4 linked regions of the Tamandua tetradactyla genome follow. The protein of the gene in region 4 interacts with the protein of the main gene of each other region in a pairwise test. Links are inferred from orthologs where the notes say so. Each region holds a gene or a part of one and is shown on either strand. Other genes may lie near its edges. The genes, in order: MAGED1, ZBTB32, SPAG8 and PITX1.

Region 1 (7,256 bases), on a different chromosome or scaffold from region 4:
CTGGTAGGGGGTACAAGAAGGGCTTTCCAGATACAAATTGTTGATCTTCATAGTGGTTACACAGTTGTGTTCTCTTTGTGAAAATGTTTTGAGGTGTACACTTATGATATGTGCATCTTTCTCTATGAACTTTAAGTTTACTTAAAAATAACACCTACAATTTTCAAGTGGTTCACTAAACCAGATAAATAAAAAATAGATGGTTGGATAATTGGATGGATGGATGGATGGACAGGTGAAGACAGGAAGATGACAGATAGAGGAAGCTAATATAGCAAGTTTAAAATTGTTGAATCTGGGTTAGAGTATAACAGTGTCCACTGTACCCTTCTTTCAACTTCTGCTTGACTGAAATTTTCAATAAAAAATATTAACCTAGAGACAGATTTTGGGCTGCTAGGCCATCTGCTCTCCTACTACATGCCTAGCAATAAACTCTTTCTCTCCTTGAAAAAAAAATACTGAGCTAAAAATACTCATCATGTCTCTCAGCACTTAATATCTGTAAGTAAGGAGTACTGTGAGCACCTGATATATTCTGACTTGTGAAAAGAAACTAATATAAAAAATGAAACGCCTATACCCAGACTGACTGTGTTTCATAGAATAATAAAATAAAATATTCTGCATATTTCCTATTGCTCAACAATAAACAGAGAGAGGGAGAGAGAGGGAGAGAGAATTTGCCCAGGACTGAGAGTCTGACAGACCCTAACTAGATGAATTCTTTTGCCACCATTTATCAAGTTACCATACCCCTCTGAGTCTTATTTTTATCATTAGTTAAAAGACAATGATACTGAACTTAGAGGATGACTTTGAATATTAAGGGAAAAACTATATTTAAAAGCATCGGGAGAACAGACACTGAATTCCTTTCAATTACCATGTCAAACATTTATGGGCAATATTTTATGAACATGGAGTGATAAAAATCAGTAGGAGAGTAAGCAAATGTGCTATAGGATCACACACAATGCATCACAAAGAGAATGGGAATGAGGTGCAGATGGAGACATGCTGGTGGCCAATAAAAAAAAAGGAATATGGGAAAATTATGAGGACGGATCCAGTTATTCAAGTATAAAGAAGGTTCCACTATGACTCTGCAGAAGGGCTCTATGATAGGGTGTGGGAGAGGGAGAAATGTAGAAGGCAGAGTGAAAAACAAAAGCAGAGCCCCTGACACAGATATATTCTGTTTCCCAGTAATATCTGAATAATTTGTGCCCTCACTTTCTTCAGGTCTCTGTTGAAATGTCACCTTACCAGGGAAGTCTTCCTGACCATCCTACATAAACAGTACAACCCACTCCCATCATAATCTATCATATATTTATTACATATAAATTTACTTAAAAGACTTTGTTTATGTTTTTCACTGCTGTATTCTCAGAGCTTCGAATACTGGCTCATAAAAGTATTCAATAAAAAAATTATTGCATGACTAAATGGATGGTTGCAAAATGGGTTAAAACCAGTATGGTGACATCTAAACGCTAAGTAATAAAGATCTGAATAGAGAATAAAGATAGGCCAACAACATTATCCTTTGAAAAAGTTTCTAAGAGTTTTGGTTCCATGAAATCTCTGCCTCGTATATTCTAAAAACTGAAAATTAGATCTAGACTAGAAAAGAGAATCACAACTTATTTTGGCAAGCATAACACCCACTAATTACAGCAGGAAGAAGAGGAAGGAGTAACTTGGTTTTCAAGATCTTTGGTTAAATATCTCTTCAAAGCTGAAAATTCTTTATGAAGATAAATTTAACGATCCGTTCCCCACTCTTGGGTAAAGAATTGAAACAAAAAATTGTAATTATTAACATTCTCACAAGATAAATTTCACATGATGACAAACGGAACAGAAAGACACATTTCACATTACAGCAAATTTTTTAGAAAAAGATAAAGTTCACATCGCAACAAATAAATCACATTGCAAACAAATAACACTTGCAAACTCCTGGGGGAAATCTTTGTCTAAAAAATCTGCCAACTTGCTATTCAATATTGCTACCAGAGACCAGAAAAGGATTTGCTTAATAAACCCAACTTACATGAGGGAATATATTTATGATTAGATGTCATTCCTGTCAGCCACTTCTCTAAGAGAAGTACTAAAGGAGATGGGAAAACTTCCACCTCCAAACTGTGACACGCAAAATCCTCTGTATTTGCCCACACAAAAAAAATTGGGGGATTCAATTTTATGCCATCATGTGATAAAAATGCCACGAGCAGAAGGCAACAATTGTTGTGTAATAATGTTTAGAGTAAAAAAATAAAAGGACATAATAATTTGAACAATTCTTTATGTCTCTTAGGACGCTGATATTTCTGCTTCCTTGCTTATTTTTTTTAAAGAACTAAAAAAACAGCCTTGACTCTGAAGAGGTCAAGCTTGATTATGGAAAATATGTTATTCGCTGACCTCGGCAAGAGGAAGAGAAGAAAGATAAGGAGCCAGCAGAGGGAGTAAAACACTGAGGTCCGAAGGAAGAATGACGCTCAGAGTAGGGGACAGGGGTTGCAAAAGGTCTGAGGCAGAAAGGGGGTGGCGTGGAAGATGGCGGTGGGAGGTAGGAAAGAGATCTGTGGGAGAGGGAATGACTCAGGATCAGAAAGATCCAGAAGAGGATCCGGGATAAGAAGAGAGGTGAAAGAACACGAACGGGGATCACAAGAATAAAAGGCGCACCGCAGTCAGGAGGGGGGATGAGAGCCTGCCATTCCTGAAGCGCGACTGGGGCGGGTGGGGGAAGGGAGCAGCGCGGCGATCATAACCGGAGGCGCCACAAGCTTTCTTCACTCAGTGTATTCTGGAAAATGAATTCCGCTTATTTCCACACCACGTGGAGGCAAGGAAGGAAGCTTCCAAGGGTCTACTGGGTTTCATTTGTGAGATTTATCAGTCCCCTTCTTTACACTCACCTTAACGAAGAAAGCGGCGACGACAGCGTGACCGGAAGCACTCTTTTTGTTTGGCGGAAGCTTTACCTTCTGCAGCCTCTTCCCCGCCTCCTTCATTCCAAGCAACTTCCTGTGTCTCTCGTAGCAAGTTCTGCAATATATGCTTTAGCTCATAGGCTTTCTCACCAGATCAGAACCTTGGATAGTTATGTAAACCGAATTGACCAGAGAATCAGTAACATTTTAAAAACCCTTCCCTAGTTATCCAAGAAACCCAGAAATTCTTTATCTCTGCCTAACCCCGAATATGCAATGTCACCTCACCTTGTTGATTCTGCCTTAGATATATCTCCTTTCCCCCTTACGCCCTTAATCCAGGACTCATTATCTTTTTCTCCTATGTCTACAGTTAGATACTTATACTCTTTTGTTTCATGGCATACTATTTGGAATAAAAGTTCATTTTTATTAGAGATATACTTTGATTTCAAGATTTTGTAAGCTTAAATTTGAATCATTTTTGTCTTACATGATGTATATAAATTTCCAAATGAGTAATGGTAAACTTGTTTAGAAAGCATTCATCCTGATTACTCTGCAAAAAGAGGAAGAAAATGACAACTGACAAAAATATTTGAGTAATAAGAATAACCCTTATTCTGTTTCAAAGACTTACAGAATTATTTATTGCCACTACCTACAGAAAGCTCTCCCAAGCCCCAAATTTGCACACCAATTCTCCATTTTTGTGTGGTCATTTTTCATTAGTCCACAAGTGTATACTAACCGCCTACCATATCTCCAACACCATACAGTACCTAAAGGCATTCTACTAGGAGCTCACAGTTTGGTATGAATAAGTGATCATAATGTATTCAGGGCAAAGTCAGGGACAGCACAAGATTCTTGTTTTTGCTGATATTTGTATAATTCCTTTCAAAAATTTCGCTCACATTTTCTCATTCAACCAACAGGTTTTGAGCATCTACTCAGTGCAAGGTTCTGTGACTGTTACTGCCTGTACAAAGAAGAATAACACATTCCTGGATTCCAAGACTCTACACCCAATGGGGGAGAGAAACAAATAAATACCAGGACTGCAATGTGACAATAAAACTTAATAAAGAGGAGACAATGCAGGAACTATGTCTATTGACTCATGAATTTTGGACGCCCAAAAGAGACTTTATCTCCTACAGAGTGCACAATAAAGAATGGTCGAATATTGAATAAATGAAAGGGGAATGGCAGCGGAGATAAAGCACACTGTAAAAAGAACAATGGTGACCAGCATGGCTGCAGATATGAAAAGAGGCCATAGAGGCATGAATCTTGTTTACCATGTTATGGAGTTTGGACTTAACTATCAGGAAAACAAGAAGCCAAAGAAGGATTTTAAGCAAAAAAAGCGTGTATTCATGAGACTCAGAGTTAGAGCTCTGAAGCTATGAAAGTCAGCACCACCCCATGCAGGAACTGTTTATAAAGTTGAAAAAGGGATCAGACTTCGAATAGAGATATGAATGAAACTGATTTGGATAGGATTAAGGTATATCAAAATGCAGGGGAAAGGATGATATCATCCATATTTTATAACTTCAATTTCTGTCTAAGACTAAAGAGAGAAAACGTTATTGGGTGCAAAATTTTTATTTTGGGTAGTGCATTTCCTAATTTAACTTGTATGGTAAGTTTAGTTGGACACAATAAGTACATGAAATCTTGAATAGAGCATGACATTTTCTTGGTTTGTTCAGGTTAATGTGGTGCCCCAATATATCCCAGAGTATTTGGGGCAGTGAATAAAAAAGTATTTGCAAAGTCCCCTTAGGGGACTGGGGAGAAAAGAGGAAATATTCACCTTCCCCATTTGGAGAATTTCTGATATTCTCACAAGCAGTGGGGACAGGCAAACCAATAGGTCCAGCCTTCGATCTTGGGGTTTGCCCTTAGGAAACATATTCTGCAAAGGATAGGCTAAGCCTACTTAAAATTAGGCCTAAGTGTCACCCCTAGAGAACCTCTTTTCTTGCTTAGATGTGGCCCCTGTCTCTAAGCCAGCTTGGCAGGGGAAATCACTGTCCTTCCCCCTGTGTGGGACATGACTCCCAGGGGTGTAAATCTCCCTGGCTATGTGGGACAGAAATCCTGGGATAAGCAGGGACCCAGCATCAAGGGATTGAGAAAGGCTTCTTGGCCAAAAGGAGGAATAGAGAAATGAGACAAAATAAAGTGTCCATGGCTGAGAGATTTCAAGTAGAGTTGAGAGTTTATACTGGAGGTTATTCTTTTATTTTATTTTATTTATTTTATTTTTTATTAATTAAAAAATTAACTAACACAACATTAGAAATCAATCCATTCTACATATGCAATCAGTAATTCTTAATATCATCACATAGGTGTATGGTCATCATTTCTCAGTACATATGCATCGATTTAGAGAAAGAAATAGCACGACAACAGAAAAAGAAATAAAGTGCTAACACAGAGAGAAAACACAAATAAAAATAAAAAGTACAAAAATATATAAGAGAAAAAAGAAACAAAAAAAAAACTATAGCTCAGATGCAGCTTCATTCAGCGTTCCAACATAATTACATTACAATTAGGCAGTATTGTGCTGACCATTTTTTTTTTTAAGAAATCATACCATTCTACATATGCAATCAGTAATTCTTAACATCATCACATAGATGCATGATCATCGTTTCTTAGTACATTTGCATCGGTTTAGAAGAACTAGCAATATAACAGAAAAAGATATAGAATGTTAATATAGAGAAAAAAATAAAAGTAATAATAATAAGAACAAAACAAAACAAAACAAAAACCTATAGCTCGGATGCAGCTTCATTCAGTATTTTAACATGAATACTTTACAATTAGGTATTATTGTGCTGTCCATTTTTGAGTTTTTGTATCTAGTCCTATTGCACAGTCTGTATTCCATCAGCTCCAATTACCCATTATCTTCCCCTGTTTCTAACTCCTGCTGAACTCTGTTACCAATGACATCTTCCAAGTTTATTCTTGAGTGTCGATTCACATCATTGGGACCATACAGTATTTTTCTTTTAGTTTTTGGCTAGATTCACTCAGCATAATGTTCTCTAGGTCCATCCATGTTATTACATGCTTCATAAGTTTATCCTGCCTTAAAGCTGCATAATATTCCATCGTATGTATATACCACAGTTTGTTTAGCCACTCGTCTGTTGATGGACATTTTGGCTGTTTCCATCTCTTTGCAATTGTAAATAACGCTGCTATAAACATTGGTGTGCAAATGTCTGTTTGAGTTTTTGCCCTTAATTCCTTTGAGTAGATTCCCAGCAATGGTATTGCTGGGTCGTATGGCAGTTCTATATTCAGCTTTTTGAGGAACCGCCAAACTGCATTTCACAGTGGTTGCACCATTTGACATTCCCACCAACAGTGGATAAGTGTGCCTCTTTCACCGCATCCTCTCCAGCACTTGTCATTTTCTGTTTTGTTGATAATGGCCATTCTGGTGGGTGTGAGATGATATCTCATTGTGGTTTTGATTTGCATTTCTCTAATGGCCAGGGACACTGAGCATCTCTTCATGTGTCTTTTGGCCATTTGTATTTCCTCCTCTGAGAAGTGTCTATTCAAGTCTTTTTCCCATTTTGTAATTGGGTTGGCTATCTTTTTGTTTTGAGTTGAACAATCTCAGTATAAATTCTGGATACTAGACCTTTATCTGATATGTCGTTTCCAAATATTGATTCCCATTGTGTAGGCTGTCTTTCTACTTTCTTGATGAAGTTCTTTGATGCACAAAAGTGTTTAATTTTGAGGAGCTCCCATTTATTTATTTCCTTCTTCAGTGCTCTTGCTTTAGGTGTAAGGTCCATAAAACCGCCTCCAATTGTAAGATTCATAAGATATCTCCCTACATTTTCCTCTAACTGTTCTATGGTCTTAGACCTAATGTTTAGATCTTTGATCCATTTTGAGTTAACTTTTGTGTAGGGTGTGAGATATGGGTCTTCTTTCATTCTTTTGCATATGGATATCCAGTTCTCTAGGCACCATTTATTGAAGAGACTGTTCTGTCCCAGGTGAGTTGGCTTGACTGCCTTATCAAAGATCAAATGTCCATAGATGAGAGGGTCTATATCTGAGCACTCTATTCGATTCCATTGGTCGATATATCTATCTTTATGCCAATACCATGCTGTTTTGACCACTGTGGCTTCATAATATGCCTTAAAGTCAGGCAGTGCAAGACCTCCAGCTTCGTTTTTTTTCCTTAAGATGTTTTTAGCAATTCGGGGCACCCTGCCCTTCCAGATAAATTTGCTTATTGGTTTT
Region 2 (7,672 bases), on a different chromosome or scaffold from region 4:
TTACATGTTAGCCTGTATGTCCAAGTTCAGTCTATATACCACCCCCACCCCATCTCGAGTTAGGGCCTAGAGTATGCACAGCAGTAGCATTATCTACTCTCATGAGCACAGACCTGGGGTTGAGGCCCATGCAGGCCCTGGAAAGGCTCAGAGCTATCTGAGCCAGGAAGTCCAGAATTCTAGGCTCTCAGAGCATGGTCTAGAAGGAAGGGGATGTGGGCTCCAGGTAGGTACTTCCTACCAACCCTTGGACTTTACAGCCCATGGAGAGGAACACAGTCAGAGGAGGCTGGAGTGGAGGGCTCTTCCCTATTTAGGACCATACTGGTATTCAATATTGATCTTGAAAATAGCTCCTTTGAGGAAGCTGAGGGTCTTCATAGAGTCCCATATTAGGGCAAAATAAGTCTGTCCTTTCTGAAAATGTAGTGGAGCCTGTTTTCTGACTTCCAGTCTAGTTCTCTTACTAATTATTCCATAAAAAGTTATACTATTATAGGGTCTATCTGTGATTTTCACATAATGTAGAACATAAGTTTAAGGGATGAAAGGAACGAATTCACCCTGTCATATCTATTATCTGGTATACGCTGGATGTACTTAACTAAGAAGAGTAAACATCTTGAAAATTCATGTAAAATTTGGTCTTAATCTGTATAAAATGTTGTAGAGGGTTTAGCCACCTTAATTTTCCTGAAAAGATGTATTCCTGGGAAGAGTGGCAAATTCACAGAATTTTTCAAAGCTGAATCTTGTTTAACTTGACCTGGAAATGGGAGAGAGCTCAATATTTAAAATAAGTGAAGGGTGAACAATTTTCATAAAACAAATCATTATCCCTGTAACAGACTTATTCTGATGGCTTCATTTCAATTATAAAGAGAATTATGTTTTGCATTGCTGTGCCAATTTTTTTTCATTTCTTTCTTTAATCATGGTAACATGTAGGTAAGTTAAAATTTTCCACTTTAACTATTTTTAAGTGCACAATTTTTATATCAAACTGGATTGTGCCTGAAGGGGGTTATGAGGCCAGGATCTCTGGGCAGTTTTTTATTTAGTTCCGCAGACATGGTGTGCAATAAGCCCCTCACACATTTTCCCCCCTTATTGTCCCTTTGGTCAAGCCTATTAGTGAGAATTTAAAATTATCAAATTTCAAACATCATTTAGTAATATGAGTATCGAAAGCACTGAGAGGCAGAAATCATACCTCCTTTTATCACATAACTCCTTTTCTTACCTTTCTACCCACTCTACCTTCTCTCAGGATGCAGGCTTATGCCCTCTTGGCCTGTGGTTTCCTGGCTCCACTCAAAGGGGATAATTATAGGCAATATCTGCTGAGGCAGCCTGCGAAGTAGAAAGTGGGCAGGGTTCCTGAGGTCGGGAGCAGAGATCTTTCAATAACAGTCAGCACTGTCTGTATCCTTTTAAGTCAAGGAGCTATTTGTTTCTGTTGTCACTGCTCAGTGCTGGATGGCTTGGGCTGCGCTGTCAGCAATGTTGGGAGAGACTAGAGAAGGGCCTAGAGCATCATTGATTCTAAGGGTCGAGGTACAGAGAGCTCTAGAGATACCTCAGAGGAGCTGTCTCTAAGGGGATATCCTTAGGTAGGGTAGACACCAAGCGAGAGGCAAGATGGGGTTTCCCATTCTTGGGGACTTTTGCTCCCTAAATGGGGAGTCCCCTTGCCCCTTCTCCATTTTAGGCTCCCTTAAAGTCCATGATACTCTTGTCAAGACCCACATTTGGCTTACAGAGGTCGCTGCCCTCTGAACAGTCTCCAGATCTCTTGATCATTAAGAGATGATCCACACTGGTGACAGGAGCTGAGTTGCAGGCATGCAATATAGCGATGGGAGGTGAGGGGAACCATAATCTACTGGGTGATGATGTGCTCTCCCAGACCCCTAACCTTTTCCTTGACACTCGGGCATCCTTCTCATGGCTTTCCTAATTTATTTCATATCTTTAAGGATCATGTGTTTCTGTGTTGGAAGAAGGATTCTCTCCATGTACATTCAAATCAGGGATTGATTATCCCTTTGTGTGTCCGGGCTATGTGTCTTTTATGTGGGTGTTTGATGAGTCCCTAGGTGTGGTGATGTGAAGAGTTAGAAAGCTCAGAAATGGAAAATATTTAACGTTCAGAGTAGTAGTAGATGAATACAAGTTGCCCATTTGCATTTTTCCTTTCACTTTGACTCATCTTCCCCTCTCTGCACCCCATTGCCCCTCCACCAGCCCCACCCATTGGCACACCCTGTATGATCTAGGATGTGTTAACACCTACCTGCACCCAAACTTGGATGAGAGTTAGAGGGAAGGCATGTTAGGCATAGAAGGAGAGAACAGCAGGTTAACCTGAACATTTTAGGGTCTGGGAGCCCAAGGGAGAATAGGAACTTAGAGACACAAAATTTGAGTCTTGCAGAGGACCGGGATCTCAATGGGAGGCCAAGGAGCCAGACTGTCTTTTTTGTCAGCAAGGCAGCCTACCAGTGCCTGACATTCTTGTTTAACTTTCAGTTATTTTGTGAACATATATGATATGCCAGGTATACACTGTAAATTATTTATCAACATTTGTTGAATGAAAATTTTACTACTGGAGCAGGAATAGAATAAAAAGAAACAGAAAAACAAATGTGAGTCTCTCAGACCTCATCCCTTCCCCAGATTAAAGAGTACTAACGTGTGAAAAGAGCGGAAATCTCTGGGGACTTTGACCATTGGGCAGGAAGTGAAAGAAACCCTGAGACCTGATTTCAGAGAAATGTCATTTGTCATCAGCCCAAGAAAGTGAATTTTTCTTTTCAAAGACCACCACAGACCTTTCCTGGGGTTGCCCCCTCCAGAGTATGATGGGAGGATTTGAGTTACTCACATACCTTATTCTGATGGCCCAGAGTACAGGGGTCTTTCCCAAAGAGCAAGTGATACCTCTTAGTACCAAGTCAGGGAAAGGGAGGAGGCATGCCTTTGGCCCTTCTTCTCCTTCTCCTTGGAATGCAGATGTTTCAGTCTTTTTTACTTCTGAAGTAGAAGCAGAAACAGCTTCCAACTACTATGACTCTACTATCCCCTCTAAGAAACAGAACTAATACTATTTGAATGATGTTATGAACTTAGAAACCATTTTCACATACATCATGTCATTTCATCTTCACCCCATCTTCAAATGAGGTAAGAGAGAGTATACCTATTTCATGGATGAGGTAACTGAGGCTGAGAAAGAAGACTTGCCCAAGGTGATTTGACCAGTAAATGGTAGAGATGTGATTCAAGTGCAGGCCAGATTATCCAAAAGTCCCTGTTGCCCCAGATACATTTCTTTGACCCTAGGAGTTCACAAATGAAATAAGGAGACAGGTCAAGGGGCAAAATGTCTAGGTTCTGCAAATAGAAGAGGTAACTCTTCTTGGAGAAGTGAAGCAGAGTCAGGGGTATAAAAGCCACACCCCTTTGGGGGACTGTGGCTGACTGTTATTTGGGGCATCCAATGGAGGACTCTGAGGTCAGGGGCGGAGCTAGTTCCATCAGGCCCCCAGGAGTCCAAACAGTGTTCAGAGCATGCGGTGTCCAGGGAGGAAGCTACAACCGGTGAGTGGTTGCTTCTCCCCAGCTGAGGCTTTCCTCCCAATATATCCACCACCACCCCCAACTCCCTGGCAACCTGCAACCCTCAACCTAAATTGTCCAAGTAGTAGTTCTCCCTCCCACAAGGGTCCTTGTTCATGGTGAGCCCACCCCTCAGAATATGGCTGCTGGGAACCTGCACCTTGTTTTAGATTATTTCCCTTTGTAACTGGGTTCCCAGTTTTCTTCTTGAAAGCCAGTGTGGTGGATCTGATGTATGGTAAACTCCTGCCCTGCTGGGTTCTTTCAATTCTCTATTTTTCACTCATGAAAAACAAAATTAAACCATCTCCCTAACCTAATCTTGAGAGAAAATAGCCTCCTCCTCTATAGTTCCCATTTCCCTTTCTTCCACTTCCTCAGGAGTCAAAGCCTTCTCCAAAACCTCGCCATCCTTGGATTAGGAACCTTCTCTTCTGTGGTTTTTGTACCACCTACTCTCTTAATTCACTGGACAGTAATCTTTGGTCTCTTCCAGTTCCTTCTCTGAGGATGCATTCTAGAAGCTTCAGCCTCAGGGGAATGCCTGAGCCTGCTCTCCTGCAGCCATGACCCCTTTCTTGCTGCTCTCCATCTCTCAGGAGACTGAGCTCCACTTGATGGGCTCATGGGGGGGGGGGGGGGGTGGTAGGACAGAGTTTAGGTAGCTTTCTAAACTCTGCCCGTGAAGCTGTGTCTTGTGCCATCCCTAAATGCCAGGGCTGGCTGAGTTTGGTGGTGCTCTCTTTGTCTGGAATGAGGAAAGTCTGGCCTGCTCAAAGGTCTTGCTCTTCAGAGGGGCTTAAAGAAGTGGAAATATCAGAGTCTGCTATTTTTTAAGTCAAATTGCAAACTGGTAGTTCCCACCTATATTAAACTCACTACTTGGTGGTGTTTTTGTTAACTACCTGGTCCTTGCTTTTTAAGTCTTGAATTTGGTCTGATTTCCATCCCTATGCCCCATCCCTGTTATGATTCTGGATAAACTTAGCTCTCTCTTGGGCTAGTTTATTTGCCCCATTTCAGATCATAGAGCTGATCCTGGACTCTTTCTCCCCTCACCTTCACAGGCTTAAGAATATGCCGTTCCTCCCTCCCCTTTCCACCAAGGACCCTACACTGTGACCTTCCTCTCAGAACCTCTGAGATTGGTACCCAGATAAGGCACAATGCCCCTGAGCCCCACAAGACTGCTCAGTCCTTACAACTCTGACCGGCTGGTACAGCTGGCAGCCAGGCTCTGGCCAGCACTATGTGATGCCCTAATCACTGTGGGTAGTCAGGAGTTCCCTGCCCACAGCCTGGTGCTAGCAGGTGTGAGCCAGCAGCTGGGCCGCAGGGGCCAGTGGTCTCTGGTGGAAGGCATTAGCCCTTCCACCTTTGCCCAGCTTCTGCAGTTTGTTTATGGGGAGAGTGTAGAGCTTCAGCCTGGGGAGCTAGGGCCCCTTGAGGAGGCAGCCAGGACTTTGGGAGTACAGGCTCTGGAAGAGGCATGCAGCAGGGCTCAAAAGGACAGGGCTAAAGAGGAGTGGGATCCAGGGCCGAAGAAACACCAGGAGGAGTCAGAGGAACCTTTAAAGGATTTTGAGAGAGGACTGGGAGGCTTTAGAGAGAAGCAGAGACCAGAGAAGTTTTTCAGAGCTGGTGGGAAAGAACAAGAGATGTTGCATGAGTCCAAGCCACCAAGAGAGAGCCCCAACATAGCAGGGGCAATATGGGAGGGACAGGGGGTACAGATGAAATCAAAGGAGGAGAAACTCAACCAATCCCTGGTTGGTCAAGGGGGGAGAGATGGGAAGCCAGAAGTGGTCATGTGGGTGAGAGAGAGTCAAGGGGACTCTGAGGCAAGTCTTCGGGGACTAACAAGTCCCCTCCAAGCCAGCATCATCCCCAGGCCCTGGTGGGCTGAGGGCCCCTGCTTGGGGAAGGATCAGCCTGCCCTGTGGAGCATCCTGCTATGGCCGTCCAGATATGGCACTCCCTTCTCTCATAGCACCCCCTTCAATGGAGCCTGGCAGGAGGTCTGGCCTTGGAACCAGAGGTAAGTGAAAGGCCTAGTGTAAGACCTCCCAGGCTGGGAGGGAATGGCCCAGTAGTGGTGATGGGCGCAAGGGCACCATATCTCTTTATTTCTACTGTACATTTCCTAAGCTGGGGATAGTACAGGAAGCTCCCACCACAGGGGAAGCCAGAGCCCAGCCCCTGAAGAAGACTTAGGACACACCTCCCCAGACAAGGACAGGTTTGGTTAGGCCCCTATGCTTTGCCAAAGCTGTAACTCTGCCCCCCGCCCTGCCCCCGGCACCCTCCTCAGGACCCCACTGTCCCTGAACCCCCACAAAGGACTCTGGAGCCAGAACCTGTTGGCTTCTTCCAGCTCCACCCCAGGTAAGCTCCTTGCTGCCCTATAATGTGATCCTTCCTCTGGGGCAGGGGCTCCAGGAGTCCAGCCTGAGTAGGGCCCCTACTTCATTCTGTTCCCTCCAGGTTCCTTCCCCCAGTATCCCACACAGCTCAACCCTGGGGAGATGGAAGCGTCTGATCAGGGGGACACAGGTGAGTAGGGTGAAGGTGCTTTTGCTTTCCCACTGTGGCCCTAATATCTTGCCTGGGTGTTTCAGTGACCCGGTTCTGGGATGCCTATCCTTGCCCTCCTTTGACTCTTCTGTGCCCACAGGCCCTCTAGAAACCCACATGGGTCAGGACAGGAGAGCAGGCTACTCATCTCACCAACACTCTCCCCCAACCCCTCCTGCTCGGGAAAGGCCCTATTCTTGTTCTGTCTGTGGAAAGAGGTTTTCACTCAAGCATCAGATGGAGACGCACTACCGAGTCCATACAGGTATGGGCTCCTGCCCAGTGTCTTCCCAACTCCAGTCTGTGCGCTCCTGCATCCCTCTTTGCGTGCCCAGCTCGCGTGCACCCACTGGCTGGCCCCATCGCCTGATGTACCCCTAGCTCAGCAGGCTTTGCCTTCTTTCCTTCACTTGGCCTCCCCTTCTGTCCGCCCTAGGCGAGAAACCCTTCTCTTGTGGCCTCTGTCCCCAGCGCTCCCGGGACTTCTCGGCCATGACCAAGCACCTGCGTACGCACGGGGCTGCGCCCTACCGCTGCCCTCTGTGCCGGGCGGGCTGCCCCCGCCTGGCCTCGATGCAGGCACACATGCGCGGCCACTCGCCCAGCCAGCTCCCGCCGGGATGGACCATTCGCTCCACCTACCTCTACTCCTCCTCTAGGCCGTCCCGGGCCTCGACTTCTTCCTGTAGCCCCCCTCCCTCCACCACCTGAAGGGACTGTAGGGAGCTTCTTTGGCCGACGGCCGCCCGCCGCCTGACCCGGCTACTAGCAAATTCGGCTCCATACGCGCAGCAGAAAAGGTGAGGAGAGCCTTCCCAAGGACGACCGTGGGCCGCAGAAGCCTGGGCCGGCAAGTCCGAGTGGGATGAGGGCAGTTAAGTTTGCATGAGTGAAGATCAACTGTACGGGGCCTGATGACCGCATCATCATAATAAAGAGTTTCCTGTGCTCTCCACTCAGGACAAAAAGTCGAGTCCAAACTAATCTGTGCGCCGGGTCTCACGGGTCTTGAAACTTGTCCTATAGCGGCCCCTGGTGGCCATGCGCCCACTATCCCGCCCGGGAGCCAGCCGCTACCTCCAACTCTCGAGACACTCCGTTCTCCCCTGGAAGCAGCGGGTGTCGAGAGCTCGGTGTCAGAGCTGACATCGCAGCAGGTACTGAGCGGTTTGTGAGACACCAAATCACTCGCCCCTTTTACAGCAAGCAAGCCACAGAATTAGCGTGCAGCGCCTGTTTAGGCGCGCCCGGCCCGAGGCTCCAGCCGAACGCGGGCTCCGCCCTGCTTTTGGCCAGCCGACTTCTTTCCCTCAGCCTCTCCCCTCCGCGCTGTACCGACCGGCCTCCGCGGTCACTCCAGGAACTGAAACTAACCCTTTGCCCCTGCCCCTTCCCAAGCCCACGCCTCCCGGTGACGCGAACTCCATTTCCCAGAGTCTCCGAGGTCCCTAGGGCCGAAGTCTGCTGTGCCTTG
Region 3 (7,764 bases), on a different chromosome or scaffold from region 4:
GATGAGGGATAATCTCTTATGTAAAGTCTCCTCACGAAGTACAGATAGAATTACCTTCTTCCCCATATAGAAACAGATCCCACATTCCACATCACCACCCTTTCCCAACCTTTAGACAGGAGTAGTTCTCCCGCTTCTACCACCCTGCCCTCCTCCCTTGACAGGCCATGGACAATATTTCTCACAATTGATGGGGATTCTCGGGTTCATAGGGCAAAGGCTGTCCCAGGGATAAGGGGACTGGTGTTGTGAAGCTGCAGTTCCTCCGGAATGGTGTGTCCAGTGTCTTGATATTACTGACCCCCTAGAGGAGTGCCAGAATGAGGAATGAGGACAGATACTGTCCCTGCTCTGCAGCCCCCCACTTGCCACAAGTGAGACAGAATAGCCTCTTCCCCTTCTCCTTCTCTCCCACCTCCAATGCCTAGTCACCCTCACATACCGGGAGCTGTGGTGCCCTCTGTATCCAGAAGGTTTCAGGCTGTTCCCAATGGTAGTCATGAGGCTGTGAGGGAGAGAGACTGGATTATTCTTCACCTGCAGCCCCTCTCTTAACCTCTGGGCCTCTGCTTTCCCACACCTCATCAGAACCTAGCTGTGCACGTGAGGTGAAATGGGTTCTCACCTTTATGGGGGCAGGAGGCCCTGCTTGCACCAACTCCATTCGGTAGTCATGGTGTGTCACTGATTCAACCTCAAAAAGCTTCTTTTTGGGTTCTTGTTCTGCCTGCACCTCCTCACTGTATAGCCCTAGGGAGAGTCAAGGCCATTTCCCCCAAATTTTTGTCTCCCCCCTCCTCCTTCCCCTTCACCAAGCCTCACCAGATCTGGTGGTGCAGGAGCATCTCCAACCTGGCTTCACGTTTTCCTGTGGAAGGACAGGGAGTGAACAGAGTGGGTGATTCTGGTTAAGAAGTAGGCTAAGAAGAAACAAACTTGAGATAAAGGAAGGAAAATCTTGTTTTTCTGCCCTTATGCCCACTGAACAATCCACAGTCCCACCAGAAGTTCCTTCCTCTCTTTTTTCTCTGACTAATGGACTCATTCTGTTCCCTTACTCATGCTTCACACCTCGAAGTGGCTGGTAGAGGTTTCCTGGGGACTGGTATGAATCTTTCTGGGTGGTGCTGGATGGCATGGGTGATTGTGGCTGTAGGGTCAGCAATCCCCGGTGTCCATGTCTGAAGAAGAAACTCTCAGAGCCATCCTGCATGCTGGGGACTCGATCCAGGTGGTTGGTGGCTCTCTGTGGGCCACAAGTTGAGTGACCATGTTGTCCCTTCTGGTACACACCCTCATCATGAACCTTCCCCAGGAAATTGGGAGCAGCATCAAGAAAAGGGAACAGGCCAAAACCTTAATACCTCCTCCTCCCAGTTGTAGAGTAGGCACTGGCCCCGGGGCAATGCTTCGTGGAGCACTTTAGATTTCCTTTCAACCTCTGGGGGCTTCCATAGCCCTCGGGCACCAGGTTCTGGAACTTGCAAAAATTTCCAGCTTGGTGGTTTCTGAGGACCCCAGTTGCCATGGTAACTCCGAGTGGCATAATCAGGGACCAGATCTGCCCCGAGCCTTCTGTTCCTTGGAACAGTGTAGGAGCTGAGCTCAGGGCCAGATCCTGGACAAGGTCCAGAGTCAGGGACAGGATTAGGGCCAGAGTCAGGACCCAAGCCATAGCCAGGGCCAGAGCTACGGCCAGGACTAGAGCTAGAGGCAGGAACAGGACCAGAGCTAGAGCCAGGAACAGGGCCAGAACTAAAATCAGGTACAGGACTGGAGCTAGAGCCAGGAACAGGGCCTGAGCTAGAGCCAGGAACAGGGACAGAGCTAGAGCCAGGAATAGGGATAGAGCTAGAGGTAAGGTCAGTTGTGGTACAAGGGTCCTGAGTAATACAGGAAACATAGACGGGCTCAAAGCCTTGGCTCTCGCAGCCTATTCTTTGGGTAAAGCTGGATTCAGTGGAGGGTTCCCCAGGAAGACTGAGGTCAGAGGAGAGCTGGGTGAGAAGGCTGTGCTGCGAGTAGGGCCCTGGTGTCTTTGCAGATAGTGCAGCTGCTTTGGCGGTGGAGGCGGCTGCAGCAGCTGATGCCACTGATGCAGCCGCTGCAGCTGCTACGGTTGCGGCTGTCAGGGCAGACCTAGCACCGCCATCTGAAGAAGGAAACGGTTCCGAAGTGGACCCCAGGCCTCCGGAGCTGTGCTGTACATCTAAAGACCTGAAAAAAAGCGAAGCTGTCAAGATTGTCAAAAGCACAGCGGAGGAAGTCAGCAGACCTTCCTTGAACCCTCGTGCCTGCAGCCAAAGCTGCAGCTCTCACCGCGACTCCGTTTCCTCGCTAGACGGGTTGGTCTCCATCGTCAGACACCAGCTGCCAGGTTGCCATAGAGACGACAAATAATTCCGGGAGACTGCGCAGACGGGAGCTGGGCGGATGTGGAGGGTGGGGGTGGAGGCAAGTCCTCTGCGGGGCGGAAGTTAAACCTGGTGTGGTCCGCGTTCCCCTCCAGTCTCCATTCCGCCTCAGCCAGAGTTTCAAGATTCCGCCGGGTTTTTCAGGTTCCTCCGGCTTATGGTTCGGTCTCCAAACCCAAGCATGGTTTTTTATGACTTTCTAAGAGTGGTTCTTTACGGGTTTTGTTAGAGACAAGTACAGAGCTGTGGAATCAAAGGCAAAAGTCTACTTGGTGTGTTTGTGTTGGGACAACAGTAACTTCCCCTTCCTTCATTCTCAAAAGTGAGGGGAAGGGGGTGCGGGGTACTTCAGTGGTAGAATTCTCGCCTGCCCTGTGGGAGACCCGGGTTCCATTCCCCGCCCATGCACTTCCCCAAACAAAAACAAACAAGCAAACAGACAAAAACCAACGAAACAAAAATTTGCAAATGGTCCTGCAATAAGGGGATACGCATATGGAAAAAGAATGATATGTGACCCCTGCCATAGAGCATACAAAAAATGAAAGTGAGGGGAGTGTTTTCAAAATTTTTAAAGATTAAAATACAGATGATAGTGTAAATGCAAAACGGTGCGAGGCGTGTAGTAGTCAAAGGGTAGCAGGTTTTTTTTTTTTTTTTTTTTTTGGTGTGATTGCTTCACCTCCAATAAAAGGCAAAACTCCCTCACATTGACACTTTCTTCCCCTTAACCCCCAGCTTCCTTTAGAACCTGACTTGGCCTCTGAATGAGGGCCAGGATTGAGTAAGTCTTACTCCTGGGATCCAGTCTCTCCCTGCTCACTTCATCCTAATTCCTACTGCTATTCCAGAAGCTTGAATCAGGGTATACTACTAGTCATAAGAACTCAGAACTCAGATCTGTAGGCACACTCTATACACAAGCTAAGCTTCCTTACTGTCTCTTACTCAAAGGGGATCATAGCCCTGAATTGGTTTTCTTTCCTTCTTGTGGTATAAATCTCTACATATTTAAGACAGGGATTCATCGTTGGATAAGACAAGGTTTATTAGCAGCACAAGGCCCGTTTTCCTCCTCCCCACTCAAGCATCCAGGCTTGGGGTTCTTGGTCAATTGGTTAGTTCAACCTGGAGGCCACCGGAGCTGTCGGCCCCCAAGTACATGAATATGCAGGTGATACACAGATTGTGCGCCCAGCTTCCCATCGTTGATCACTGAAATGGAGCTTGGAGTTAGGGGGTCACGATCGTGGAAAAGGCCAAGGACTGAAGATCACATAAGGGGTAGGTTCAACTCAGAAGTGAGGGTTTCAAGGACCAAAAGTCACTCACCCAGTCGGTAACCATCCCCCAGGCCCTCAGCTTTTGCTGTCTTCTTGGCCACAAGGAGTAGGTGTCCTAGCAGCTATACGAAGGGAGGGAAGCAGGTGTCATCATTCACAGGAAGCAAAAGCTCTATCTGAGTCCAGCTCCCCACCCCAACTCTCACCCCCCATCCCAGCCAAACCCTGCCCCTATTCTTCCCACCTGCTGGTCCTCCTCTTCAGCCTGGCTAATCCGAGGAATGGGTTTCTTAGGAATGACCAGGAAGTGCACAGGAGCCTGAGGGGCCACATCTCGGAACACAAGACACTGGGGATAGGAGGAAGGACATATCATTGGCAGTAACTGGCCAGAGGCCACCACATTCCTTCCAACAGGCAGGACGGTAACTTTGAGGGGTTGCTTATGAAATTCCTGGGGAGGCTGGATCCTAAGGGCACCCCACCTGCTGGTCCTCATATAGAATGTCAGCTGGGAGACTTCGGTCCAGGATCCGGGAGAAGATGGTTGGGGCTGCACCCCCAGGAGCTGCCTGCTGGGCCTTGGCCACTTCATTCTCATCAGTCACACCTGCAGCTCCTCGGACCTGAAGGTGGGTCAGACAGACCCAAGGAAGGAATTTGATAATACAACTCCTATGTAGTATTACATAGGTAGCAGAAGCTGAGTTCTGATAGTCATTAACTCCATTCTTCTAAGGAGGAAAAGATCCTGAATTTTAGAGCAGCAGCAGCAGTAGCAGTAGCAGCAGAGGGTAGAGCCAGATGGTATTGGGCCCCGTCAGAAAATTATTACAATTTTACAATATTACAACTCAGTATAATTGATTTCTGCTTTTAATCTACCTAGGGGATCTAGCACCGTTCAAGGGAAACCATCCAGAATGAGAACTTAGTGACTTAGTCATATTTCCTATTTTACCCTTGAATTACCTCTGATAAACCCCTTCTTTTCTCTGGGCTTCACACGTAAAATAAAGGATTTGCATTTCTTTCATCTTTCTTCACCATCTCTTAGGACTACTTGGAGTGCTTTTCATTTACTCTCATCTTGTTAATAAGTTTCCTCCATTTCCTTACTTGTTTTTTCTGATCTTTAAGCCTTGTCACCTGTTTCATTCAGGTTTTAATGCAACGGCCTTGTTTGACACAAGTTTATCCCTCATCTGGGTGTCACACCTGACCTCTTCATGTGGATTGTGAATCCAGTCCCTGAGCCAGTAGAAAGAAAAGTTCGATTATGTGAACTCGATTCTCCCGGCCCATAGGATTGTGGGGCAGGGAACTTCCAGTCATCCGGGGGCGCGAAGAAGGCTGAATGCAGCCAACTCATCTTGTGGGTGTTGAAGGGACGGCTTGAATTAAACTCTCTGACCCCTTGAGTTGCTCAAGGGGGAAGACGAGAGGTTAACTCTAGTGCTTACTAGAAGGGAAGGAGTCAGACGGGGTAAAAAGCCTGGCTCCAAGAAGTCAAAGCTCATTTCCTGCAGGAGGCACCGAGGAGACTTCCCAGAGCAGGCGTCTGCTCAGCTGGGCTCCAGGCAGGCGGAGAACGCAACAGCCGCTGCAGCGACCCTGTCCAGAGCTCGGCGCCCAGGTCTGCGCAGGATGTCCGTCATCTCCCGTTCGCTTCGCCTGGGGTGAGGGTTCCGCGGAAACTGCCGCGGCCACCAGCCCGACCTCCCCTCGCAGCCCAGAGGCAGCGGCCAGCGTAAGGAGCTCCGGCCCCAGCGAGGCCGTGCGCACGTTTGGGAGCCGAGGACGACTGTGGACCCCGGTCAGGGAGAGCGTCAGAGCCCGCAGGACACCCTCCCCGCGGCCACTTCTCACCTGCGCCCCCCGCGACCCCGCGACAACCAGGGCCCTGCTCGCCACGCGCACCCCAGCGGAGAGCACCATCGCCGCCGCCATCTTCGCCTCGGCGGCGGGCCGCTCTCACGCAGGCCCGCACTTGGGCTCTGCAGCGGGTGGGAGGTGGCGTTCTCCGCGCCGCGGGCTGACTGGGGTTGACCGGGGAGCTGGCGAGCAGCGGCCATTGGCTCCGCGAGCGGCACGGCCCCGCCGGCTCATTGGGTGGCGCTGCCAGGCAGGACCGGCGCAGGGCGGGCGCAGGGGGAGGCCGGGGCAGCGGCGCGGGCTGGCCGCCGCTTTGGAGGCGGGTTCGTCCCTTCCCGGCGGCTTCTGCCAACTCGGGGGTGATTTCTCCGCTCCATTGGCTTCGCCTTCAGGGTGAAAGTTCTTTTTCCAACGAATTCCCTAGCTAGATTTGCTATGAGATAATTTTTCACTCCATTGGAAGAACTAAGAGACTTAGATTAAAAAAAAAAAAGAGACTTAGAGGGGGATTCTCTTCCAATTGCATGCGATATGTAATACTGGCACCGCTTTGGTTGCAGCTCCCGCATCCAACCCGGGGAAGGCAGAGTGCGGGGCTCGGTCACCTGCTGCAGGAAGGCTCCAAAATGTTTTAGACCCTTTCACCTCATTGGCCGGTAGGAGGGCGGGGGGTCTCGGCGTTTACTGACTCGGGGGAACCACCGCTAACCCCTGACGCCCAAAGCCGTGGGGGTCGAGGAAAAAAAGCGGCGGGTCGAGGACGCAGGAGAGGTGGAGCTAAAGGCGCACCGGGGTCGGGTCCTTTCTTTCTCCCCCCTGACTCGAGGAGTCCATGTCTAAGAGTCCTATTTGTCAAATAGCGAACACTTTTCACAAAGGGGAATTTCAGCTTCTTGAGCATTTTAACTGATTAATGACAACTCCATCTTACTGTCATGTTCTCAGCACATTCAATCCATAGACTAAGGATTCTGCATATTGTTTTCAGAGGCGTGTTTGTTTTACGGAGGACGGGATGTCTTATCCTTCCGACACTACCAATGAACAAAGGAGTATGTATCCAATGTTCTTTCCCAATCGGAGAAAGTATGTAATACGGTTAGCTCGATGCCTGCCTAACCAATGAGTAAGGTTCGGACCACGAGGGAATTGTGTCATGGACAGATAGGTCAGAAGCATATTTCACTCTACTGAAATATATTTTTGACATAAGAAACAATGTCTTAAAATGCTAATATACTCAGACACCAACCACATCAGTTGTAGTATGATGTTAAACAGGACAAGTCACGACTTGTGCACCTGATACCATCAGGTGCACATAGCACACAAAATGATCAACATTTGTTTTCCCAGAATTTCCTTTCATAATATACAACACATATGAAGATATGTATTGCATAGTTTCCTTAGTCTTCCTCTTATAATGTTTTCCATATTATTACATAGGCTGTGTAAATGGACTTGTAATGACTGCATAACTTCCTTTCATAAGTTTATCATAGTTTATCATCCTGTTATTAACTGAAATAATTTTAGTTGAATATTTATCATGGTGCTAATTACATATGACCAATGAGGAGGAGCTCTTTACTTCTGCAGATAGTACAATCTGTTTTTGAATAGGTATATTATTGTAGAAAGTCCTTTCTCTTCCTAGACACAGACGATTGACCCTGCGATTTCCCCCAGGGGTTCTAGCAGTCCAGAGTCATTCCTTTCCTTGGAAGGATAGATGGCCTCCCTAACTGTGAGGAAATGTACACTGCCCTCTTGTCTGTGTCCCAGAGGTTTCAGTTCTCTGTGGTGTCCCCAGGACAGCAGGAACCTCTAGTGTTGCTGCAAAGAAGGGCAGGTGATAAGAAGAGTTGGGTGTGTTCCAGTAGCCTGGATTCTTGAAGACGACTGTATAACTATATAGATTTTACCATGTGATCATGTGATTGCGAAAACCTTGTGTCTGATGCTCCTTTTATCCAGGATATGGACAGAGGAGTAAAAAAATAAGGAAAAGAAATAAATCGTTGGGGGGATAAAGGGTTAAAAAATTGGGTAGATTGAAGTACTGGTGATCAATGAGAGTAAAGGGTAAGGGGTATGGGATGTATTTTTTCTTTTGATTTTTCTAGAGTGATTGCAAATGTTCTAAAATGATCATGGTGATGAATAAACTATGTGATGATCTTGTGACA
Region 4 (7,973 bases):
TCGTTCGTTCGTTCGTTCCGGCAGCAATGCCGCACAAAAGCAGCAGACATCGGCCGGAGCCCCGGCTCCCTTCGCCGCCGACCCCGATGTCCCACCGCAGCGCTCGGAGGCGCCCCTGGCCCAGGAAGGCCTGGCCCACGCCCAGAGCTACTCTCGCCCGCCCGCGTCGGGCTTTTCCTTCCCCTACGAGAAACCCTAGTTGCTCTTCGCAAAGTCCAATAAAGACATTCCCGTGGCTCTTCCCGGGTCTGCTTGTTGACGCAGGGTTCCCGAACACACAACCGCTTCTTTAGAGCCGGGTCTCCGAGTTGATACTGACGGGCCTGGAAAACTGCAGCCGACTCTGCCGTGGCAAAGCATGGGCCCCAAGACTGGGATCGCAGAAACGAGAACCTAGGTTGGAGTCCTAATTCCAGGTTTTCCGATTTAGGAATTCCCTGAATCTAAAAATTTTCTGAGTACACTTTTCTGAAAAACTAAGGCCCAGGTATTCTCAGTTCTCCGGATCGTGGCCTCTGACAGCTGCCAGCGCCAGAGCAAGGAAACCGGGTTGCTGTCCACTTGGCCGAGGATGCAGTTATAGGGTATTGGCCAGATGTAGGGCAATGGCAAAGACCACAGGTAGCAGAACAGCAGAGAAAGGGGACTTGCTGTCACCCTGTCCTGCCCCAGGCTGAGACTCTTCATCTTTGGAAAAGAACTGGGCTGGGCATGGACACCAGGCTGCCTGGAGTCTAGGATATAAAGGTGGCATTTGTTGACCTGAGTCAGGCGGAGTGTCTTTTTCCCAGAAAAGCAGCTGTTGGATAGAGGACCTGTGATGCAGCATATATGCTCACCGGTTACGGGAGTGCCCACAGCCACTTTCGTGGCCCTCTCTTCCCCTTGGCTCCGCCACTCTCAGGAACCAGACAGCATCTGGTGGACGCCAGTGAACAATGGACCAGGAAAGCAATGGGCCCTACCAGCCACTGACCCAGCAGCCCACAACCCAGTTCCCTGCTCCCACTGGCACCCAAGGGCTGCGGGTCCTGCCTGAAAACGTCCCAGCCCTCCCCACCTGGGCAAAATGGGGGGGGGGGCGATTGTCAGGAAGACTCGGCCCTTAAAGAATCCACAGAGATCATTTTCAGCCCTACCTGAATACCCCTCCCCGACCTCTCCCCAGTAATTGCTTATGCTCAAAGAAATAAGAGTTTTCATTGGGGAGGGGCTGTTAGGTCAGTCAGAAGGAGGTAGGTGGTCTCGGTGGCACTCCCGAAACTACTTTTTCTCGTTTGAACTTCTCCAAGCCGAAGAGGCTTAGGGACTGGAATGTCCCAGAGAGTCGTGAGTGGCCCTGGGGGCAGGCTATGGTGCATTCCTTCGCTTTTCCTAAAACTTCTTGATGGGGGGGCAAGGATTAGGAGGGCTACCCCATGGGTAGGTGGTAGAATGCCCCTAGGAAGGCCCTCTGACCACCATTCTCACATTAGATTACTGCACCAGTCTTGGGCAGTCTGTTTTGAGGGAGCCAGGACTCACGAAGGATCCCCGTGGTGACTGTTTCGGTCACTTGGCAGTCCAGCCTCCTCTGCTCAGTCCAGCCAGGACCCAAATTTCCTGAAAGTCACAGAATTATTGCTGGCTCTGCGTGGCCTGAGAGGGATGCAGAAGAGGGCACAAGGTGCCAATTCAGTAAGCTCTCTTCCCTCCCCATGTCCCATTCTCCAGGAACCTGGAGGCTGCAGCAGCAGGCAGGGATTGCTGTGTCCCATGTCGGTCATGGGAACTGCAGCACAGTGCTGGTCAAACCTCGCCCAAAGTCACACAGGGGAAACTGAACCTCTGCTCTTACTCCAGAAAGACTGCTATCCTGTATGTGTGTGCGTCTGTGTGTGTATGTGTGGCACCTATGTGTACAAGAAGCCCCCATCCTGATTGGGACAGTGGCCAGTCGGAAAGCATGGCTGGGAGAGAGCAGTGAGAGACAGCATTGAATACCCAGGTTCCTTCTCGAGCCATGCCTGGGATCAGCCACAGCCCCGTCTCTCAATTACTTCCTCTCCCCTGCTAATTCAGTACTGCCCAAATTCAGCAGAATGACTCTCCTGGCCTGTCCCCACTAACCTGAGCCCCTTCTGGGTTTCAAGGCCCCTGGGACCCTGAGCTTCACTGGCAAGGGTGTGAGGACCTTTCCATTCACACAGCAGGCATCAAGTGTTTCAAATAAAGGGGCTGTTGTGGCTGCCTGGAACACTGCCAGAGGCCTGGATCCAGATGGGCACACAGCAGGTGCTCAATAACTGCATTAAATGCATAAACATAAGGGATGCAAGCCCCCCTCAGACCACATAGCTGAAGCTGCAGTCACAGAACAGTACCCACCCACCCCCAATCCATGGACTCTTTTGGCCCTCTGGGAAGTAGGGGACTTGTGACCTTCGAAGCCTCAGGATGCCCACAGGCAGGCTGTCCTTTTCCATGGCTCCACCCAGTGGTGTACCATGCTTCCCACCTTGGCCTGACACTTGGCGGGCTGAGAACACACCTCCTACCCCAGACCAGCCAGCTTTCGTGCCAAACAGCCTGGGTGCCCCGGGACCCAGAGGCCTGGCAGTGTGCACATTGTGCCTGTGAGCCTGGACTCAACACTCCCACATGTGGACGCAGTATGTGTGTGTTGGGTGTACATGGCACACCTGTGTGAGTGTGCACTCTCTAAGGGTGTCTGTATCCAGACCGGCTGGGTGGCACACTGCTGGGGTAAGCAGCTCCAGGGAAGATAGTATGTGAAGGGGCAGCATGTTGCACCACCTGAAAGCTGCTGCCAAAGTTTCAGCCAAGAAATGTGGTAAAGGGGGCTGAGGGTAAACGTCCTTCCCTCATAACCAAGACTAATTAATTTCCTCTCAGGGGCCTCTGAACTTAAAAGAAACTTCCTTTGGGGAGGAAAGGGCGGGAGTCAAGTCATTGAGTCTCCCCATCCCAAATTTAGGAGGCATCCTCTCTCTAGCCTCCGTCTCAGAATGACTGTGGGCCCTCTCCCCATGGCCCAAAGCAGGGGGCCTTGGGCCGAAGCTGAAAGAGTGGGAGGCAGGTCTGGTTGTACCCTGCACTTGGCCCTGCCCAGCAATCCACACCAAGGAGCTCAACCTGGGGCCTGCGTGTTGCCTCAAATGAGGGGCAGGGTGAGAACTCGACATCAGTGCCTGCAGAGCACCCCAACATTGACAGCCTGCGGTATTCTGTCCCAAGCAGAGACCCTGAGGAACAGATAAGGATGCGCTGGGCCTGGAGAGTAGGGAAGGGCTTCTCCCCATAGGCTGCCTCCCAGTGTTGCTCCCTGGGTTGCTGTTTCTGGTGGAGCAGATCAGGTGAGGGGGAAAGAGCAGCCTGGGAGTCCAGCTGTGGCCAGGAGCAGGTCAGGGCAGCACCCTACCGCCACAGCTGTCGCTTGTTTATTCAAGACGCTGAGGTCTCAGGGCCAGTTAACAATTGTTAAGCAAAATCCCTTGACAAAGTTCACTGAAGCGGGAGGACTCAGGGAGGGGACCACCCGTGGGGGTGGGGAGGGTACCTTTGCCTGTGCGCAGCAAGGCCCCACTGGTGCTGCAGCTTAGTTCCCACTGTGTTGGGGAGAAGCTCCGAAGATGGAAGGCCTCGACTGCCAGCCTGGGGTTGGGAGACCAAAGTCATCTGCCCCACCAGGCCTGTGCCTCCAGACCTAAGAAGCTCGAGCATGGCCCCCCACCCCCTCCCTGGGGCAACACTGCCCTGCAGGGGGCAGAACAGACCCCCGTGGCTGCCATGGCCCAGGCCTGGACGGTTTGAAGAGGCCGCTGAAGGTGCAAAGCAGAAGAGGCTGCGGGGGATCTTGGGGTCTCCCGCTGCACTCGCCAGCGGTCTGGAGCCAACAGAAACGTTTTGTCTGATTAGAAGCCATCATTTCTGTCCCAATCCTGGAAAACTGCGATACAGAGGAGGAGGCCTGAGAAGCAGCCTTGGGGGAGAGGGTCCAGGCTAATTAGGAGGCAACATCCGGGGGCCCATTAGAGCGCAGGCTGCTGTCACTCAGCCGGGTTTAGGTCCCAGGAGAAGAGGCAGGGGGAGGAGAGGCCGGCGGCCCTCGATGAGGACCCCGCTGGGAGCTGCGGGAGGGGGCCCCGGGCTCTGCCCCGGCTCTGGGCGCTGGCTCGGAGGCGCCCGCTCGGTGCGATCCTGCTCGGCGAATATTCACTAATCCTGGGACTGTTCTCGCCGGGGACTAGGGACTTCGAGGCGGCCCAGACAGGAGTTGATTCTAAGTGAAACAAGTCATTTGGGAACTGAGGTGGGCACGAGCCGCGCGGGACTTGCAGGCCAGATGCGTTTCTTTTGTGCGGCGGAGGGAGAACTCGGTGTGTCACCGGGGAAGGAGGGAGAGGCACAGCGAGGCCGCGGGGGGCGGGAAGGCGGCGGGAAGGTGGCTGCCGAGGGGGAGGGTGCGGGCGAGGCAGGGAGGGAGGGAGGGCGGCAGAGAGGGCGCGGCGGCGAGGGCGGCTCGGGGCTGGATTCCGCCCGCGCTCCTTCGCTCGCTCGCTCCCTCCCTCCCCAGCCCCCTCCCACCCCGGCCCACCCCACCCACCACCCCTGGCGCAGGGACTGCTGGAACCTGGCGGTGCGCTCTGTCGCTTTAAGACAGACTCTGCCGGCGCCGTCCCGACCCTTAGAAACCGGCCCCGGATCGGGAGCCGGGGCCGGGCAGGCAGCTGAGGCCGAGCTGCACGAGCGCTGCGCGGAGCGCGGGGCCTGGCGCCCGGGCGCGAGAAACCGCCGCCGCAGTCGCCGCCGCCGCCGCCCGCCTGGCCCCGCAGTCCATGGGGCGGGCGCGGCGTCGCTGTGGGCGCGGGCAGCCCCCGGGAGCAGCCGCTTAGGCGCTGAGCTCTTGTCCCCGCAGGTCGCAGCCAGGGCGGCCGGGCGCGCCCAGCCCCGGCGCCTGGAGCGCCCGCCGCGGTCCCCGCCTCTATGGACGCCTTCAAAGGGGGCATGAGCCTGGAGCGGCTGCCGGAGGGGCTCCGGCCACCGCCGCCGCCGCCGCACGACTTGGGGCCCGCCTTCCACCTGGCCCGCGCCGCCGATCCCCGCGAGCCGCTCGAGAACTCCGCCAGCGAGTCGTCCGACACGGAGCTGCCAGGTAAGCGCGGCTCCCCTCGCGGCGCGTACGGAGCCTTCCCAGGCTCAGGGTGCGGGGAACCGGGAACCAGGCCTGGCGCCCGCGCGGCGCTATCAGGACCCCTTCCGCCCCCAAAACTTTGCTTTTCCTGTCCTTGACCTGACGATAAACGCGGAAATTTACACCACCACCACCCCCAAAATTAAACACACCCAAAGGCATTTCTACGATGTCCCCACGCACCAAGAGACCGGCAGACACACGGACCTGCGAGTTGAGAGCAGGACTGACATCCCCTCTAGATCAGGGACAAATAGAACGAAGAAAAAGTTGGTTTCGCGCAACTGGGAACTGAGGGTGCGCTCGCGCGGAGGGAGAGGGGCACATGTAGAAGAAAGGGTGGACGTCGGACGAATAAGTGTCCAGAAAGCTGAGAGGGGGACAGTCAACTGTACATACGGTGGGTGACAGATCGAGGGGGCGAGTCGAGAGAAAACGGGGGTTGACGGGGGGCAGTGTCAAATAAAAGGAAGCCAGAGAGGCAGCGAGGGACAGCGGGCCAAGAGGCCCGCTTGGGCTCCGGGCAGGGCCGGTCGGGACCCTGATCGAGAGATTCGGCTTCCACGTGCGCCGCCGGAGCCGAGAACCGCCAGGCAGCTCAGCCAGGGCTCCGACGCGACTCAGTCACGTCTCTCCGGGCGCTGCCTTTAGGTCCGAGATCGGATTTTTCCCCAGCCAAGAGTGGAGCGGGCCGGTGGGCGTCGCGGGCAAGCGGCACGACTAGTGCCGGGCGGGTCCAGGCTGCCTGGGGCTCTCGCGCCTCCCGCCCTAAATCGGCGCTGCGGTCGAGCTCCTAGTTCCCTGGGCCAGGGGCGCCTCTTCCTGTGTTCATTTCTTAATCCAACACTGAGTGTTTCTCTCCACATTTTTAATCTCTATTTGTTTCTGTTTTGCATCCCTAAGTGACTTTCACTGAGGGGTTTTGTTCGCTTGGTTAAAAAACATCGGACTGTGCTTTTGCTTTTAAAGTTTTAAGCGTGGTCTTTGTTTTTTATTTTTAAAATACATAGTTATAGATTGATTTTTAAAACTAAGTCTATGAGTTGAATTGGCAATTTTAACCTTTTTAATTTAAAAGATTTAATATATTAGATGAATTTCTCTGGAATTTAAAATATCTATTTGAAGCATAATCTGGGAGATTTTTTAAAAGTCAATCCAAAATGGCGAATTTCTCTGAGATTGTCTCAAAACCCATTTTCAGCGGTGTTATTTTGGAGATTTAAATTCTCTAACTATAATGTATGTCTCTTCAATTTAAAAATAATCTCTTCGAATAAACTAATCATTGGAAGGGGGTTAAAAATCTATCTACAACAGTACACTGATTTTTTTTTTAATCCTAGAGAAATAAATGCCTGTGTTCTGCCTGCAGTTTATACACAAACAGGACTGTATTTATTTAGGGGTGTGTTTGCTCCGAGGTTTCACGCCTATTAACCTCCATTTACTCTGTGTTCCTACCTGCCTATTTTTGAGCATTTGTGACCATTTCTGTGTTTTTAGGTATAGAGCTGTGAACTTTTCTGGGCTTCCTGGTTTGTTCTTAAATTATTTTCCTATATGTTTCAATGTTTCTATGACTGCCTGTGTTTTGTGTAGTTTTAATGAGGGGAAAAGAGAAAGAGCCAGTTTACGGGTCACCTAGACAGGGTGGGCTGCAGCGGTTGGGGTTTTCTAAGCCTTGGGACTCGAGGCGGAGAGCTGAGGCCGAGAGCCCGGGGCCTGACCTAGGCCTCCGGCACAGCTCTGGGGAGAGGAAAGCAGAGGGCTGCAGGCCACTGCCTGGCTTTTGTCCCCCAAACACCACTGGCTTTAGGCTGGAAAGATCCTGGCTCAGAAAAGCAGAGACCCCTTAGATTTAGACCTCAAGAATCCACAAAAAAAATTATTTTTAAAAAAGCGCACTTACCGGTGACATCCGCAGCAGCCCCAGAGGCTGAGCCTGAGAGCGGGCTGCAAGGGCAGGCCCTGCGAGAACCCAGGCCCGCGGCTCTGGCTCCTGGTCTTTTCTCCTGGGCACTCCAGACCAAAGGTTCCTACTGACTTGACAACCAGGGACCCGGGGGGCTCTTTCCAATGCCAGGGCCCCTGGCGGGAGGGAGAGCAAGCGCTGACGGCCGGCGCTTCGGCGGAGCCGGGACCGGGTGCCAAAGGGCGTAAGCCCGAGGTGACCGGCTCCCCGTCCCGCCTGCCGCAGAGAAGGAGCGCGGCGGGGAACCCAAAGGGCCGGAGGACAGCGGCGCGGGCGGCGCGGGCTGCGGCGGCGCCGAGGACCCCACCAAAAAGAAGAAGCAGCGGCGGCAACGCACGCACTTCACAAGCCAGCAGCTGCAGGAGCTAGAGGCCACGTTCCAGAGGAACCGGTACCCGGACATGAGCATGCGAGAGGAGATCGCGGTGTGGACCAACCTCACGGAGCCGCGCGTGCGGGTGAGCGCCGGCTGCCTCTGCCGCAGCCCTGGAAAGCCTAGACCCGCGCGCGCAGACTTTCACCCTCTACCCACCCCTCAGACTTCTCCTTCCCTCCGCCGGAGAAGGAACCCCACCCTAGGTTCCGGGTCACCCAGCGGCTGCTAATCCTCCTAACCCCTGATGCCCCTCCAGGCGCCCCAGCCTCCTCTCACCCACATCCTACCGGACCCTCAGCTCTACCACCATCCGGGCCTAAAGACCAGTGGCCCCAGTGGGCTCTCCGAGGCTTGGAGGGCCCAGAGACCACACGGATGTTAGTGGGATACTCTGGGCCCAAGATTCTGGTCAGATGATTCCCAGCCGC

What was found.
Region 1: the proteins of PITX1 (region 4) and MAGED1 interact in binary tests that used the Homo sapiens proteins (3 or more experiments, as listed by UniProt). The link is inferred for Tamandua tetradactyla from reciprocal best matches to the Homo sapiens genes PITX1 and MAGED1.
Region 2: the proteins of PITX1 (region 4) and ZBTB32 interact in a two-hybrid assay, tested with the Homo sapiens proteins (2 studies listed by BioGRID). The link is inferred for Tamandua tetradactyla from reciprocal best matches to the Homo sapiens genes PITX1 and ZBTB32.
Region 3: the proteins of PITX1 (region 4) and SPAG8 interact in binary tests that used the Homo sapiens proteins (3 or more experiments, as listed by UniProt). The link is inferred for Tamandua tetradactyla from reciprocal best matches to the Homo sapiens genes PITX1 and SPAG8.

Annotation. Positions count from the first base shown.
Region 1 is NC_135353.1:118,152,750-118,160,005, forward strand, and holds the start of MAGED1 (melanoma-associated antigen D1), read right to left. Parts: upstream 3,015-7,256; 5' UTR 2,937-3,014; intron 1-2,936. UniProt on the Homo sapiens protein: Involved in the apoptotic response after nerve growth factor (NGF) binding in neuronal cells. Inhibits cell cycle progression, and facilitates NGFR-mediated apoptosis. May act as a regulator of the function of DLX family members.
Region 2 is NC_135342.1:30,268,549-30,276,220, reverse strand, and holds ZBTB32 (zinc finger and BTB domain-containing protein 32), read left to right. Parts: upstream 1-4,778; 5' UTR 4,779-4,790; coding exon 4,791-5,662; intron 5,663-5,935; coding exon 5,936-6,009; intron 6,010-6,108; coding exon 6,109-6,177; intron 6,178-6,298; coding exon 6,299-6,463; intron 6,464-6,634; coding exon 6,635-6,909; 3' UTR 6,910-7,171; downstream 7,172-7,672. UniProt on the Homo sapiens protein: DNA-binding protein that binds to the to a 5'-TGTACAGTGT-3' core sequence. May function as a transcriptional transactivator and transcriptional repressor. Probably exerts its repressor effect by preventing GATA3 from binding to DNA.
Region 3 is NC_135328.1:59,954,154-59,961,917, reverse strand, and holds the start of SPAG8 (sperm-associated antigen 8), read right to left. Parts: upstream 3,016-7,764; 5' UTR 2,358-3,015; coding exon 2,320-2,357; intron 2,218-2,319; coding exon 1,365-2,217; intron 1,247-1,364; coding exon 1,072-1,246; intron 869-1,071; coding exon 823-868; intron 741-822; coding exon 626-740; intron 506-625; coding exon 443-505; intron 305-442; coding exon 182-304; 3' UTR 1-181. Other genes in the region: adenosine 5'-monophosphoramidase HINT2, read right to left, coding at 3,538-3,629, 3,747-3,819, 3,942-4,046, 4,183-4,323, 5,567-5,647. UniProt on the Homo sapiens protein: Microtubule inner protein (MIP) part of the dynein-decorated doublet microtubules (DMTs) in cilia axoneme, which is required for motile cilia beating.
Region 4 is NC_135346.1:14,175,145-14,183,117, reverse strand, and holds the start of PITX1 (pituitary homeobox 1), read left to right. Parts: upstream 1-4,959; 5' UTR 4,960-4,986; coding exon 4,987-5,155; intron 5,156-7,394; coding exon 7,395-7,627; intron 7,628-7,973. UniProt on the Homo sapiens protein: Sequence-specific transcription factor that binds gene promoters and activates their transcription. May play a role in the development of anterior structures, and in particular, the brain and facies and in specifying the identity or structure of hindlimb.